Linked DNA regions of Drosophila melanogaster. The protein of the gene in region 1 purifies or fractionates together with the protein of each later gene. This does not show direct contact. Each region holds a gene or a part of one and is shown in the gene's direction. Other genes may lie near its edges.

Region 1 (7,911 bases):
AATAACTAATATTGTATTCCTTCTAATGAGAAATTTATAAATCTACTATTCATAAATCACCATTATTAATAATTAAATTTATTATTTTGCTCTTAAAAAACATCTTAGGCTGGCTCCATTTATAATTTATAGTACAATTCTTGTTAGCTTTCTCTGTAAGCCATCTTTAACTTAGTACCCTGCGGAGGTACCGTTCTCGCTTCCATTCGCGCACCTTTTCCCTCTGCATATCGCTTCGCGTCCTTCTCGGCTGATATATGGGATCCCTTCTCCTAACAGCGTTTAAATCGAAGGCACCAAAGTGGGAGACCCTTGCCGACTGCTGTTCAATTCCCAGTCCAGTGCGTTGCTTTCGAAGAACAGTCTTGACGGGATACAATCGCCCACTTTGACTCGGTCCCAATCCGTGCTCCTGGTCCCAGCCCTGTTTCACCATCAGCTGGAGTCCTCGATTTTTGGCAGATATGTTAAATTTGTGGAGCTTATGAGCGGGCAGAGCCTTTAGATTGAACTGATGCACTGTGGATGTTTGATGAATTGGCCAGGGGGTTTCTTTGTAGTCCCTCTTACAGATTTCACAGTAAAAGGGGTTGTTGCCATCAACTGACTCATCCTCTTCGCTAGTTTCCTCTAAAATGGGTAGGGATTCCAAAAGATGAACTACATCTAAGTGACCTTTTCGTTGGGCCAGTTTCAGAGCTGTGTTTCCGGATTTGTCTGAGGTCTCTACTTGGACCCCTCTCTGCACGAGCCAACTCACTGCCTCCGTGGCTCCTTCACAGGCAGCCATCATCAAGGCAGTCCAGCCAAAGGAATCCCGAGAATTTAAATCCTCTTCTGAGGCCTTCATTTGAGACAGCTCCTCTACTTTGTTGCTAGTGGCCAAACGGAAAAATTTGCTTTTGTCGAAGGGGACTAGGATCCTTTCTGGCTCTCTTCTTGTTTGTGCAGTTTTGTGGGTACTTGGAAGGTTAGGTTGGCAGGTTGTGGGCGCATCCAACACCTCCTTGTAGAACTCACGAGCTTCTGCTCCGTTTAAGCCATCGATTTGGTGCTTTACTGCTTTCGGGGACTCGGCGATAAAATCCGGATCTCCTGCTCGGACGAATCGCTTCAGTTGGAGTGGCAATGTTGTTAGAGCCAGCCAATTTGGATGCAATTCGTTTTGAGAATTCATTTTTGACAATAATGATGCTAACTCGTTTTGTAAATAAACATTTCGCAGATGTGCGTCAGAGCTGCGTAGTGCTCAAAAATATCGTTTGGAGATAAGTCGATAGCCAAACTAATCGAATATAGAGATGGTGATTTTAGGAGATAAAAAATGAATGACACTGTTGAAATTATTTAGTCAACACTGTCGGTCAAAAATCTATTAATACCGCTCTATGTGAAGTTTCTTAAGCTTCTTTTGCGTTCTTGAAAAAATAAATAATATAAAATACAAAAATAATATTAATTAAGTAATTATATTAAGTAATAAAAATAAAATTAAAGAAATCCCAGAGTCACTCAAAAATGAAATGAAAAATAAAAATTTTTATAAGGCTAGTAAACATTATTTTATTAACACTATCTTCGTTTAGGTGATAAATTGTCCCGATAAGCCGAAAGTATCGATACCATCGTGGGTGGGCGCGCATCTCTACTGTTCTCGGCCTCTGCTTTTTGTCTGTTTTCTACCAAGCGCGAAAATGTGAATTTCGCAATTCATTTAAACTGTCCAAAACCGAGATCAGGCAGGATTAAACTTGCCCCCCAACATCCATAATCAAATATCAAATCAGGAGAACGAACTTAGGATATTCTTGTGTAACGCGTGCCCTGAATAACTGCGCAGTAAAAATCAATAACTAAGTAGCACGCATCGATACATAAATGTAAAACGCCCCAGATAAAAAGGAAGATGTCCGACGAGGAGGAGGATTCCGTGTCCGAGGGCTTCTCGGCCAGCGAGGATGAATGGAAGCCGAGCAAGGACGTCAAGGGAGGCGAGTCCTCCGACGATGATGACAGCGATTTCGATGAGCTCCAGGCGGAGGGAGGAGCAGCGGGCTCCAGTGGACGATCCTCCGCTGTAGCGGGAAAAAGAGGGTGAGAACGGGATAAGGGTCCATTGCTCTGGTACATTTTGAAATTTTCATTCCCCCTCTTCCCAGCAGCGATCACAAGGCACCAAGTGGCATCAAGGGCTCTTCGGTGAAGAAACGCAAGCCCACTGGTCAATCACTTCGCTCCAAGCTGTACAATAAGTACCGACCGCCTCCAAAGACCTTTCCCACTTCTCCTTCGCAACAGAAGGAGAACACTCCGCGGGCTTCGGGTTCAAAAAACGCCAAAACGCCCAATGAAAGCGGTGCACGGAATCAGCACGGTCCTGCTGATTCCAGCAGCGAATCCAGTGTGGAAGACTACCTAGTAAATCCAGCCGATCTTGATCTGCACTCAACCTTCTTTGCCGGCGGCCAAAAAGAGAAGTCACCGGCGCCCCAATTCGATTGTAATGCGGGCATCACAAATCTTTCAGACTCTGGATCGGAGGATAACAACGAGAGCAGCTTCGAGGATAAAGCAGGCAATGCCTTCGACTTTCGCGGTCTCCTGGAGAACGCAAACAGTTTGGAGCGCACTAGGGATGCTTTAAGCAAACGAAATGTCACGGCCACTCCGCCAAGGAGCCAGGCTGCCACCATGGATGTCAATGCGCTGCTTGCATTGGGCGAGAACCAAAACTACCAGAGTGTGGAGGTGGAGGAACGTGAAGGGAATCAGCGTAAGAAGGCGGGAAGAGGAGCACCAGCAGCGCCTCCGACCCTTGATGAACCGTCACGCCTCAGCAAGACGAAGTCAACGCGAATAAAGCGACACACCAAGACGCGACCCGTCTCCACGGTGGTCGCCAACGCTGGTGATACTGATGACTCCGATTTTGAGGAAGTGGCAGGTAGGCGAAAATGCAAGTAGTTTGACAGCCAGGCTCCCGGAAGAGTTGGCGTTGGCAGAAGGCAGTCGAGCATGCTTATCCAAGTTGGTTGTGGCGCTGGCATTTCTGGTATCTGATGAATAAAAATAAGCTTCCAAATTGCTCTGTATGAGACTGTGTAGTTTTGTTTGTACTAAGTTTATTTGTCGATGTGAACAGATAGAAATTACTAACTTACCTGTGCAGCTGCGGTCCAAATAAGAGCATGGTTTTATATAGTGTTGTATACAAATTCTTTAACGAGTTTAAACGTGTTATTTTATATAATAATTTATATTGCATTTTCCGTTAAGACTTATCATATTCGAATGTATTGTCCTAGTTTGACACTAACAATTTCCCCATTTATACAAATCGTAGAAGTTACAAGGAAATGCTTTTATTTTTACCGCAACTGTATGCTAGAATGTACATTTGGAACAGCCGCGTCAAAATAATGGCCATGAATCTACAATATACCTATTTACTGTAACATATTGTTAGTCGATTAGACTGAGAAACTAGCGTATGAGATGCTGCAGACGCTTATCTAGAATCTTGGCTTACTAACCTATTTATACCCCCTAACCATGTCATGAGTCCGTTGTACTTGGCATACGTTTCAATGCAACATTTGTATGTTTAGCCCGAATTTGGGAGATGCCAAGCCAAAATCAAGATTCCTGCGGCATTTGCTACTTAGTTGTCCGCTAAAAAAATAATTAAAGTCTATACAATGATCGATAGGAAAATCTACCACAAAAGCTTATTAAAATCTTTTTTAATGTCAAAAAAATTAAATCAAATGAACATTTTTAAACGTTTTTGCACTAGCTTAAGCCCAATCTGCGTGTTAAACGGATGAAAAAAACAAAAGCATAAACTCAATGTCTACCGAATTCTGAACGTGGTTTAAATGTCTGCACACACACTCTTGATAATAATATGTTAAACAATGATATATTTTACTCAGAAAATGCATTTACTTTTATTTATTATGTCAGTTTTTATATTTTGTTTGCCACGCAACGAAACACGTTGAAGTCAAAAAGAATCTAGTTAACCAAATCAAAATGAGATACAAAAGGATTTTAATCGCAGCCCAGTAATAGAAATAATAATTTGTAAAAGCTAGTGAAATGTCCTAGTCAACTATTTGTGTACTTACTTTATGGCAATGGCAAGTGTTTCAATGAAATCAACAAGTAGCTAACGAATTAGAACTGATGTTTAACGAATTTACTTTAGCAAAATTGTATTCACTTAATATAAACATCTGCATGCAGAGTTCTAATCTAATTTATTAATGATATACTCCAACAATGGATGCAATAAATCAAATGAAACTCGTAATTTTAGCGCAATTTAGTGAATGTTGATTGTAATTAACTCAATAATTGAAATTTCAAATGCACTTTAAAAGATATAAATAAATAAATGCAAATGTTGAAAGGAATCCATGCTCTCTGTCTGGGTATTTTTTGCCTGCCTTCCCTGCTCAATCCTCCCACATAATCATTGGTGCCGAACTTGCTACTAGTAACATTTTTATTACCCGGTTTATTTTAATTCATTTACAAATGTATTTAAATTCAAAATCATGGATATGATCATATCCATGGTTCATATTGGGAATCTCAATTTTCTTTATATCGATTGAAATGTTCGAGTATTAGATATTTTACCCCTCTTTCTCCTCCATTTAAACAAACTCTGTCTATCTCACAGTTCATCATTCAGTCCAGTGTCACATCATCACCCCGAATTGAATCCCTTTTGCAGATGCAGATCTATCCAGTGACCAGGACGATGGCGAGACGCCGAACATCTCAGGGGATTTGGAGATACGCGTGGGACTGGAAGGGCTCCGTCCTACGAAGGAGCAAAAGACTCAACACGAATTGGAGATGGCCCTAAAGCGTCGCCTTAACAGGGACATCAAGGACCGTCAGATTTTGCTGCACAAAGTCAGCCTAATGTGCCAAATAGCTCGCAGCTTAAAGTACAATCGCCTGCTTAGCGAGTCAGATTCCCTGATGCAGGCTACCCTGAAACTCCTGCCAAGCCGAAACGCATATCCTACTGAACGAGGCACCGAACTTAAATATCTGCAGTCGTTTGTCACGTGGTTCAAAACATCAATCAAGCTGCTAAGTCCCAACTTATATTCCGCGCAGTCGCCTGCTACCAAGGAAGCCATATTAGAGGCTTTACTGGAGCAGGTGAAGCGCAAGGAAGCCCGCTGCAAGCAGGATATGATTTTCATATTCATTGCCCTTGCACGGGGAATGGGCATGCACTGTCGGCTAATTGTCAATCTCCAGCCAATGCCACTGCGTCCGGCGGCCAGTGATTTGATTCCCATTAAGCTTAGGCCAGATGATAAAAACAAAAGCCAAACAGTGGAATCCGAAAGGGAAAGCGAGGATGAGAAGCCTAAAAAAGATAAAAAGGCAGGGAAGCCAGCAGAAAAAGAAAGCAGTAAGTCAACTATTTCCAAAGAGGCTGAAAAGAAAAACAATGCAAAAAAAGCTGAGGCTAAACCACTCAGTAAATCAACAACCAAGGGTTCAGAAACCACGAAATCAGGTACAGTTCCGAAGGTTAAAAAGGAGCTAAGTCTCTCCTCGAAATTGGTTGAAAAATCAAAACATCAAAAAGCCTACACCTCCAGCAAATCGGACACTTCCTTTGATGAGAAACCAAGTACGTCGTCCAGCTCTAAATGTCTAAAAGAAGAATATTCAGAACTGGGATTATCCAAAAAGTTATTAAAACCGACTCTATCCTCAAAATTGGTTTTAAAATCAAAAAATCAATCTTCATTTAGTTCCAATAAATCGGACACTTCATTTGAGGAGAATCCCAGTACCTCATCAAGTTCCAAATCTTTAAAAGAAGAGACAGCCAAGTTAAGTTCATCCAAACTCGAAGACAAAAAGGTCGCAAGCCCTGCCGAAACTAAAACTAAAGTACAATCGTCCCTTCTAAAAAGGGTCACCACTCAAAATATTTCTGAATCAGGCGATAGCAAGAAACCGAAAGTGGCTCCTGTGGACACATTCTCTCCAGTGGCAGGTCGCACACGCAGAGCCACTGTGAAACCCAAAACAGAGGAAAAACCGCAGGTGGTTGGATCACCAGTTATACCTAAACTGATGCTGTCCAAAGTTAAGCAGCTAAATGCCAAGCATAGTGATACGGAAAACGCTAGTCCTGCGAATAAACATCTGCAGGAACAGCGCAACACACGAGAAACTCGATCAAGGAGCAAGTCCCCGAAAGTACTTATATCCCCTAGTTTCCTTAAAAAGAAATCCGACGGAGCCGATTCCACTTCAGACCCTCAAAAGCATCAAATGGCGCCGGAAACTAAGGCGCGAATTTCGCCAAACTTTCTGTCCGAAGCTTTGCCAGCTCGTCAGCTACGAAGCCGAGGTCAAAAAGCCAGTAGTCTAGCCATTCCGCAATTAGACGGCGGTGACGATGTGCCGCTACCGAAAAAGCGCCCAAAACTGGAGAAGTTGAAAAATTCGCAAGATTCCGATGAGGTGTTTGAACCCGCCAAGCCGGTGAAAAAGGCTCCTGTACTGCCCAAGTCAGTACAGAATCTGCGAAAAGATCGGCGAGTGATGTCAACAGATGATGAGGGCGGTTCCAGGCTCAATCGGAAAACGGACGCCTCTGACATGTGGGTGGAAGTGTGGTCAGATGTGGAGGAGCAGTGGATCTGTATAGATCTGTTCAAAGGCAAGCTACACTGCGTGGACACAATAAGGGTGCGTATTTATCAAGCCAAATGTCGTGCCCTCCATCCAGTAATTGTATTTTTGTTTCTGCGCAGAAAAATGCAACGCCTGGATTAGCCTACGTCTTCGCCTTTCAGGATGATCAGAGTTTGAAGGATGTGACCGCCAGGTACTGCGCCAGTTGGAGCACCACTGTGCGCAAAGCCCGTGTAGAAAAGGCGTGGCTAGATGAAACTATTGCTCCTTACCTCGGACGCCGCACCAAGCGCGATATAACAGAGGATGATCAGCTACGTCGCATTCACTCCGATAAACCCTTGCCAAAGTCAATTTCCGAGTTCAAGGACCATCCGCTGTACGTGCTAGAGCGGCACTTGCTTAAGTTCCAGGGTCTATATCCACCAGATGCGCCTACATTGGGCTTTATCCGTGGTGAAGCGGTGTACTCCAGAGATTGTGTGCACCTCCTGCATTCTCGGGAAATATGGCTAAAAAGCGCACGGGTGGTGAAGCTTGGCGAACAGCCGTACAAGGTGGTTAAGGCACGTCCAAAGTGGGATAGGGTATGTTGTGCTCATTTTTTAAATGCATATGTGCTTCATTTTATTGTGTTGTATCCTTCAGCTCACGCGCACTGTTATTAAGGACCAGCCATTGGAAATCTTCGGGTATTGGCAAACTCAGGAATACGAGCCCCCAACTGCAGAGAATGGAATTGTGCCGCGAAATGCCTACGGCAATGTTGAGCTCTTTAAGGACTGCATGCTGCCAAAGAAGACGGTGCATTTGAGATGTAAGAAAGGTTTCTTCTCACCAATTTATTTAAATAACCTCGAAATTCAATTATAGTGCCCGGCTTGATGCGCATCTGTAAGAAGCTGAATATTGATTGTGCCAATGCAGTGGTTGGCTTCGATTTTCATCAAGGCGCTTGTCATCCCATGTACGATGGCTTCATTGTTTGCGAGGAATTCCGCGAAGTGGTCACTGCTGCCTGGGAAGAGGATCAACAGGTACAAGTTCTCAAGGAGCAGGAGAAGTACGAAACCCGCGTGTACGGAAACTGGAAGAAGCTGATCAAGGGTCTCCTCATTCGCGAGCGACTCAAGAAAAAATATAACTTTTGAATTCTTTGGCCTCTGATTTATGTTCGTATTATTGTTTCGTTTAAAGGCATTTTGATATTTTTGTATTTAAAAC
Region 2 (5,952 bases), on another chromosome or scaffold:
TCGTCTATTGATCCTGATAAGAATATACTTTATATGGTCGAAAACGCGTCCTTCTGCCTATAACTATAAACTTTTTTAACTATCATTTGAATAAGGCGTAGTTGCAACTCAAATCAAAACGTGTCAGAATCGCTATTATATATAAACACCGACACTAGACCCTCGACAGGTGAGTGTCCTGTTGGCAGTTACCTAAAGTATATCTGCAGGTGTAAAATATAATGCTTAGTTTATACCATTTAACTTTTAGCCAAAATGACCCAAGTTCCCATTGGCCTCGGCCCAAATATGCTTTAATAGACTAATCGCGAACTGGCTGGCATTTCCTGCTCCGGATCTTAGTCTACTCGCATAGTGATGGCGTTCGAAACGCCCAAGCCCATCATCTTGGCTTATAAGCCAGGATAATACGAATGTTAACAGCAGCAGCAGCGGCTTCTCTGCCCAAAATACATATGTACATAATGCATTAAGCATTAGCCACTTGTAATACTAATAATATCAAATGCTCATTCTAGACTACTTCGTAAGCACCGGCTCAATTATACAAATATAGAACATATTCATACTGTAATAAAAAATAAATCAAAAACCTTTTATTGCAGTCTTCCAATTAAACGCATTTTGAGAAAAAAAAAAAACAGAGAATACTATAGTCGAGTTCCCCGACTTTCAGATACCCGTAACTCAGCTAGAGTGAATGCGGACGCGCAAATTTCATAATTGATTGAAATAATTCAAATTGGCAAGGCAAATAATAAAACGAAGAAAAATCTTAAGTTTTCAAAAGTGGGCGTGGCAGTTTTGTGCGGCTTTGGATACAAATTTAGATCGATAGAACTTTACATGACTTATGAAATTATGAAAAAATATCAAATTCTTCAAAAATTTAGTTTATAGTATATATAGTATAAATGTGGTATACCCTTTTACTCCTCGAGTAATGGGTATAAGTCAATAATGTTGAAAATACGATTATAAGAGTAGCCAGTTGAAAGGTAACTTAATTTTAGGTATATAATGGTATTCGAAGCGTGACAGAAATATGAATAATTATTTTATATCTCAACGCTTCCTTCTATTCCTGAAGTCGCCTTTATTTTCGCCACCCTATTGTGTCAGGTCTGTGTACAATTGTACATTGAACAACAAACTATTTAAAAGAGAATATATGTTGAAGCTAAATAATAAAATAAAAATAACTAAATAAAATAGTAATTAAGTATTCGGCAAAAAATTGAGCTCAGCATTTGAAAATTTTACAGCCCCTCTGATTTCTATCAAAGACAAAAACCTTATATCAGGAGGGTGCCTTCGCTAAAAACAAATATACATATATGTGAAGGATGTCTCCGCTAAAGATGTATTCGCTAAATACATCGAAAATCGCATGCGATATGATCTGTAGATCTGCACTTGAAGTAAAAAATTGGTGAAATTAACATTCATGTAAATAAAATTATAACACGGTTCACGAAATCAAAGTCATCAAAGACAAAGAAATATATAAACAATAGATTTATCAGTTTTAAGATTTGCAACGTGCAGCCCGTTGCCGTCCGAACTTTTTTGTTGGAATATCGATTACAACTGGATTAGATAACCAACTGAATGTAAAGTGGAAAATACTTTTCAATTCCTCGCTACAGTGACAGAGAATGACAAAATTGATTTATTGGTTATTTATCATATTTAATAACACAACAAGTGTTATGTTCATTTAATTTCTTTCCAGTTTTTGTGCCTCTTTCATAAAATTGACTTTTTTCTTTTCTGTACGTGCTTAAAACAATAAATTCTATTTCCTTTTCATTCGCAATTCACCGTTGCGAATTTTTTTTTGCTGCCCAGACGACTTTATACCTTTTGTATCTTGACACACATTTAGTGAGCTATCGATAACGTTCAGTGCTTTTGATTCTTTAAAATACTTATACTAGTTTTTTTCAATCGTCACCGACGCGGTTACACTGGGGATTTCGTGTCTGGTAACACTGTTCCGTATTCTGAAGCTCGCAGCATTAATTTTATAATAATTAATTCCTGCCGTAATGCAACGCGTAAGTTGTGTAGAGACAGTCAGGCACTAGGTGAAAACATCAATTTAACAAAATCATTTGTTCCAGGGCATTGACTCCTTTTTCAAACGGCTGCCGGCCAAGGCGAAAAGTGCCGAGGCCGAAAATGGAGAGACGCCGTCGAAGGCGCCAAAACGCAGGAAAGCCGTGATAATTTCCAGCGACGAGGACGAGGTGGTCAGTCCGCCGGAGACCAAGAAACGCAAGGCTTCGAAGACAGCATCCAGCGAGGATGATGTGGTGGCCGCCACACCGGAACCGATTGCGAAGAAGGCCAGGAACGGGCAGAAACCAGCGCTCTCCAAGCTTAAGCGGCACGTAGATCCTACGGAGCTTTTCGGTGGAGAAACCAAACGGGTGATTGTGCCCAAGCCGAAGACCAAAGCTGTTCTCGAGTTCGAGAACGAAGACATTGACCGGAGTTTAATGGAAGTTGATCTGGACGAGAGTATCAAAGAGGCTGCCCCCGAAAAAAAGGTTCACTCGATAACCAGGAGCTCTCCCTCGCCTAAAAGAGCAAAGAACAGCAGCCCGGAACCGCCAAAACCCAAGTCAACAAAATCCAAAGCCACCACTCCGCGTGTGAAGAAGGAGAAACCTGCGGCAGATCTAGAATCCAGTGTCCTAACAGACGAGGAACGCCACGAGCGTAAACGTGCTTCCGCCGTGCTCTACCAGAAGTACAAAAACCGCAGTTCGTGCCTGAACCCCGGCAGCAAAGAAATTCCAAAGGGATCCCCGGATTGTCTGAGTGGCTTAACCTTTGTCGTAACCGGAGTCCTCGAGTCCATGGAACGAGAGGAGGCGGAGTCCGTGATCAAGGAGTATGGCGGAAAGGTGATGACCGTGGTTGGAAAGAAACTCAAGTATCTGGTCGTAGGAGAAGAGGCTGGACCAAAGAAATTAGCTGTGGCTGAGGAACTCAATATACCCATTCTCAGCGAGGACGGGCTCTTCGATCTAATCAGGGAGAAATCAGGAATCGCTAAGCAGGTAAAGGAAGAGAAGAAAAGCCCGAAGAAGGAGCACAGCTCCGAGGAGAAAGGGAAAAAGGAAGTCAAGACTTCTAGAAGGTCCAGTGATAAAAAGGAGAAGGAAGCCACTAAACTGAAATATGGCGAGAAGCATGATATCGCCAAACATAAAGTCAAGGAAGAACACACTTCCCCGAAGGAGACGAAGGATAAGCTTAATGATGTACCAGCTGTTACCTTGAAAGTAAAAAAAGAGCCCAGCTCCCAGAAAGAACACCCTCCGTCGCCAAGAACTGCCGATCTGAAGACTCTGGATGTGGTCGGGATGGCCTGGGTGGACAAGCACAAGCCTACGAGCATAAAAGAAATCGTTGGCCAGGCAGGAGCCGCCAGCAACGTGACCAAGTGAGTAACCTAAATGTATAAATGGTAGCTTCCACTTTCAAAGTTATATATTTATTATACAGTCACAATTTGAAACTGAAAGCCAAACAGGAGAGGGTTAAAGTTTTACATTATTTTAATTTTCCTAGGCTGATGAACTGGTTGTCCAAGTGGTATGTTAACCATGATGGAAACAAGAAGCCCCAACGGCCCAATCCTTGGGCCAAGAACGACGACGGCAGCTTCTACAAGGCGGCCCTACTTTCGGGACCCCCTGGAATAGGAAAGACCACGACGGCGACTCTGGTAGTGAAGGAGCTTGGCTTCGATGCGGTGGAGTTCAACGCCTCCGACACACGCAGCAAACGCTTGCTCAAGGATGAAGTGTCCACGCTGCTGAGCAACAAATCCCTCTCCGGTTACTTTACAGGGCAAGGCCAAGCGGTCTCCCGCAAGCATGTGCTCATAATGGACGAAGTTGATGGCATGGCCGGTAACGAGGACCGTGGTGGAATGCAGGAGCTGATTGCCTTGATCAAGGATAGCTCTATTCCAATTATTTGCATGTGTAATGATCGCAACCATCCAAAAATTCGATCCCTGGTTAACTATTGCTACGATCTGCGATTTCAGAGGCCTCGCCTCGAGCAAATCAAAGGGAAAATAATGAGCATCTGCTTTAAGGAAAAAGTAAAGATATCACCGGCCAAAGTGGAAGAAATCATAGCGGCTACCAACAACGATATTCGGCAATCCATTAACCACATTGCCCTGCTGAGCGCCAAGGAAGACGCTTCCCAAAAGTCAGGGCAGCAGGTTGCCACCAAGGATCTGAAGCTGGGACCCTGGGAGGTGGTGCGAAAAGTCTTCACCGCGGACGAGCACAAACACATGTCTTTTGCCGACAAGAGCGACCTTTTCTTTCACGACTACAGCCTGGCCCCGCTCTTTGTGCAGCAAAACTATCTGCAGGTCCTACCACAGGGAAACAAGTAAGTCTAGTTTACCTAAGCCAAGGGCGTACCCATTCACCAACTTCACTCTTTGCAGAAAGGATGTCCTGGCAAAGGTGGCAGCTACGGCAGATGCCCTAAGCTTGGGTGACCTTGTTGAAAAGCGTATTCGTGCGAATTCTGCTTGGAGTCTTCTACCCACTCAGGCCTTTTTCAGCTCGGTCCTTCCTGGCGAGCACATGTGTGGCCACTTCACTGGACAGATTAACTTTCCCGGGTGGCTGGGCAAGAATTCCAAGTCTGGAAAACGTGCCAGGCTGGCCCAGGAGCTGCATGATCATACTAGGGTCTGCACCTCGGGCTCAAGGCTATCAGTGAGGCTGGATTACGCCCCCTTCCTTCTGGATAATATTGTGCGACCTCTTGCAAAGGATGGGCAGGAGGGTGTGCCCGCTGCTTTAGACGTTATGAAGGATTACCATCTACTCCGTGAGGATCTGGACTCGCTGGTCGAGCTTACATCCTGGCCCGGCAAGAAATCCCCACTGGACGCAGTGGATGGGAGAGTAAAAGCCGCTTTAACGCGATCCTACAACAAGGAGGTTATGGCATACTCCTATTCCGCTCAAGCAGGCATCAAAAAGAAGAAATCAGAGGCTGCTGGAGCGGATGACGATTACTTGGACGAGGGTCCGGGCGAAGAGGACGGAGCTGGTGGCCACTTATCATCAGAGGAAGACGAGGACAAGGACAACCTAGAGCTGGATAGTTTGATCAAAGCCAAAAAGAGGACAACTACGTCAAAAGCGTCTGGTGGATCCAAAAAGGCTACATCTTCCACGGCTTCAAAGTCTAAGGCCAAGGCCAAAAAGTGAATGCACTAACGATTTCCTATATTATATGATGATTTTTTTGCCATCAAATTTCCCATTTGTAAGTAGTTTTTGTTTAAAATCTCATGAATGGCCGGCACTGGCCGACACTGTTTATACTGCTGAAAATATATATTTACCAATAAAATATGTGCTTGAATTGCAAAACATTTTATTATAACACTGAGTGGCGTAGGTGTAAACTAAAAAGGGAAAAATTGGTAATAAAATAATTGTCTGTATGAATAATACTACGAAAGAATTGAGATGATGATTTTTTAATTGATCAATTGTTTGCTTTAACTGTATAAGGATCAAGAGCGCGAATATGTCAAGCTCAAATTTATTTAAAAAAAATTGTTGGTAACGCGATCAGTGATGGTCACTCCATGCTCTATAATTTAAACTAATTTGTACTATCGTACATTTACATTTGTGAAAAATACGTTTACAATTTAAAAATTAATTTAAGTCTTTAATTTATACTTAATTAATTATTATAAATATATTATAACATAATAACGTTTTTGGCCTGAAACAAATCGATGATGTTGCGAAGCACAATCGATAATGCAGCAATCGATGTTTCGGCAGCCCTGCTATCTCGTGGTAGCGCCAAAGAGTATCGTATCTGAGTTTTTTCCCCGATGTCAACGCGAACGGATGCACGTACTGGGCAGCGGAAAATGCA

Evidence for each region.
Region 2: the proteins of Xpc (region 1) and Gnf1 purify together in Drosophila melanogaster (affinity purification with mass spectrometry, with the first as the bait; one large-scale study listed by BioGRID). This does not show direct contact.

Annotation. Positions count from the first base shown.
Region 1 is NT_033778.4:15,309,874-15,317,784, forward strand, and holds the start of Xpc (xeroderma pigmentosum, complementation group C), read left to right. Parts: upstream 1-1,636; 5' UTR 1,637-1,906; coding exon 1,907-2,094; intron 2,095-2,159; coding exon 2,160-2,944; coding exon of another isoform or gene 2,945-2,964; exon of another isoform or gene 2,965-3,091; intron 3,092-4,744; coding exon 4,745-6,741; intron 6,742-6,806; coding exon 6,807-7,274; intron 7,275-7,335; coding exon 7,336-7,504; intron 7,505-7,560; coding exon 7,561-7,838; 3' UTR 7,839-7,911. Other genes in the region: CG8152 (uncharacterized protein), read right to left, coding at 167-1,177. UniProt on the Drosophila melanogaster protein: Involved in DNA excision repair. May play a part in DNA damage recognition and/or in altering chromatin structure to allow access by damage-processing enzymes.
Region 2 is NT_033777.3:4,904,663-4,910,614, forward strand, and holds Gnf1 (germ line transcription factor 1), read left to right. Parts: upstream 1-1,959; 5' UTR 1,960-2,051; coding exon 2,052-2,060; intron 2,061-2,126; coding exon 2,127-3,457; intron 3,458-3,519; coding exon 3,520-4,428; intron 4,429-4,486; coding exon 4,487-5,264; 3' UTR 5,265-5,419; downstream 5,420-5,952. UniProt on the Drosophila melanogaster protein: The elongation of primed DNA templates by DNA polymerase delta and epsilon requires the action of the accessory proteins proliferating cell nuclear antigen (PCNA) and activator 1. This subunit binds to the primer-template junction.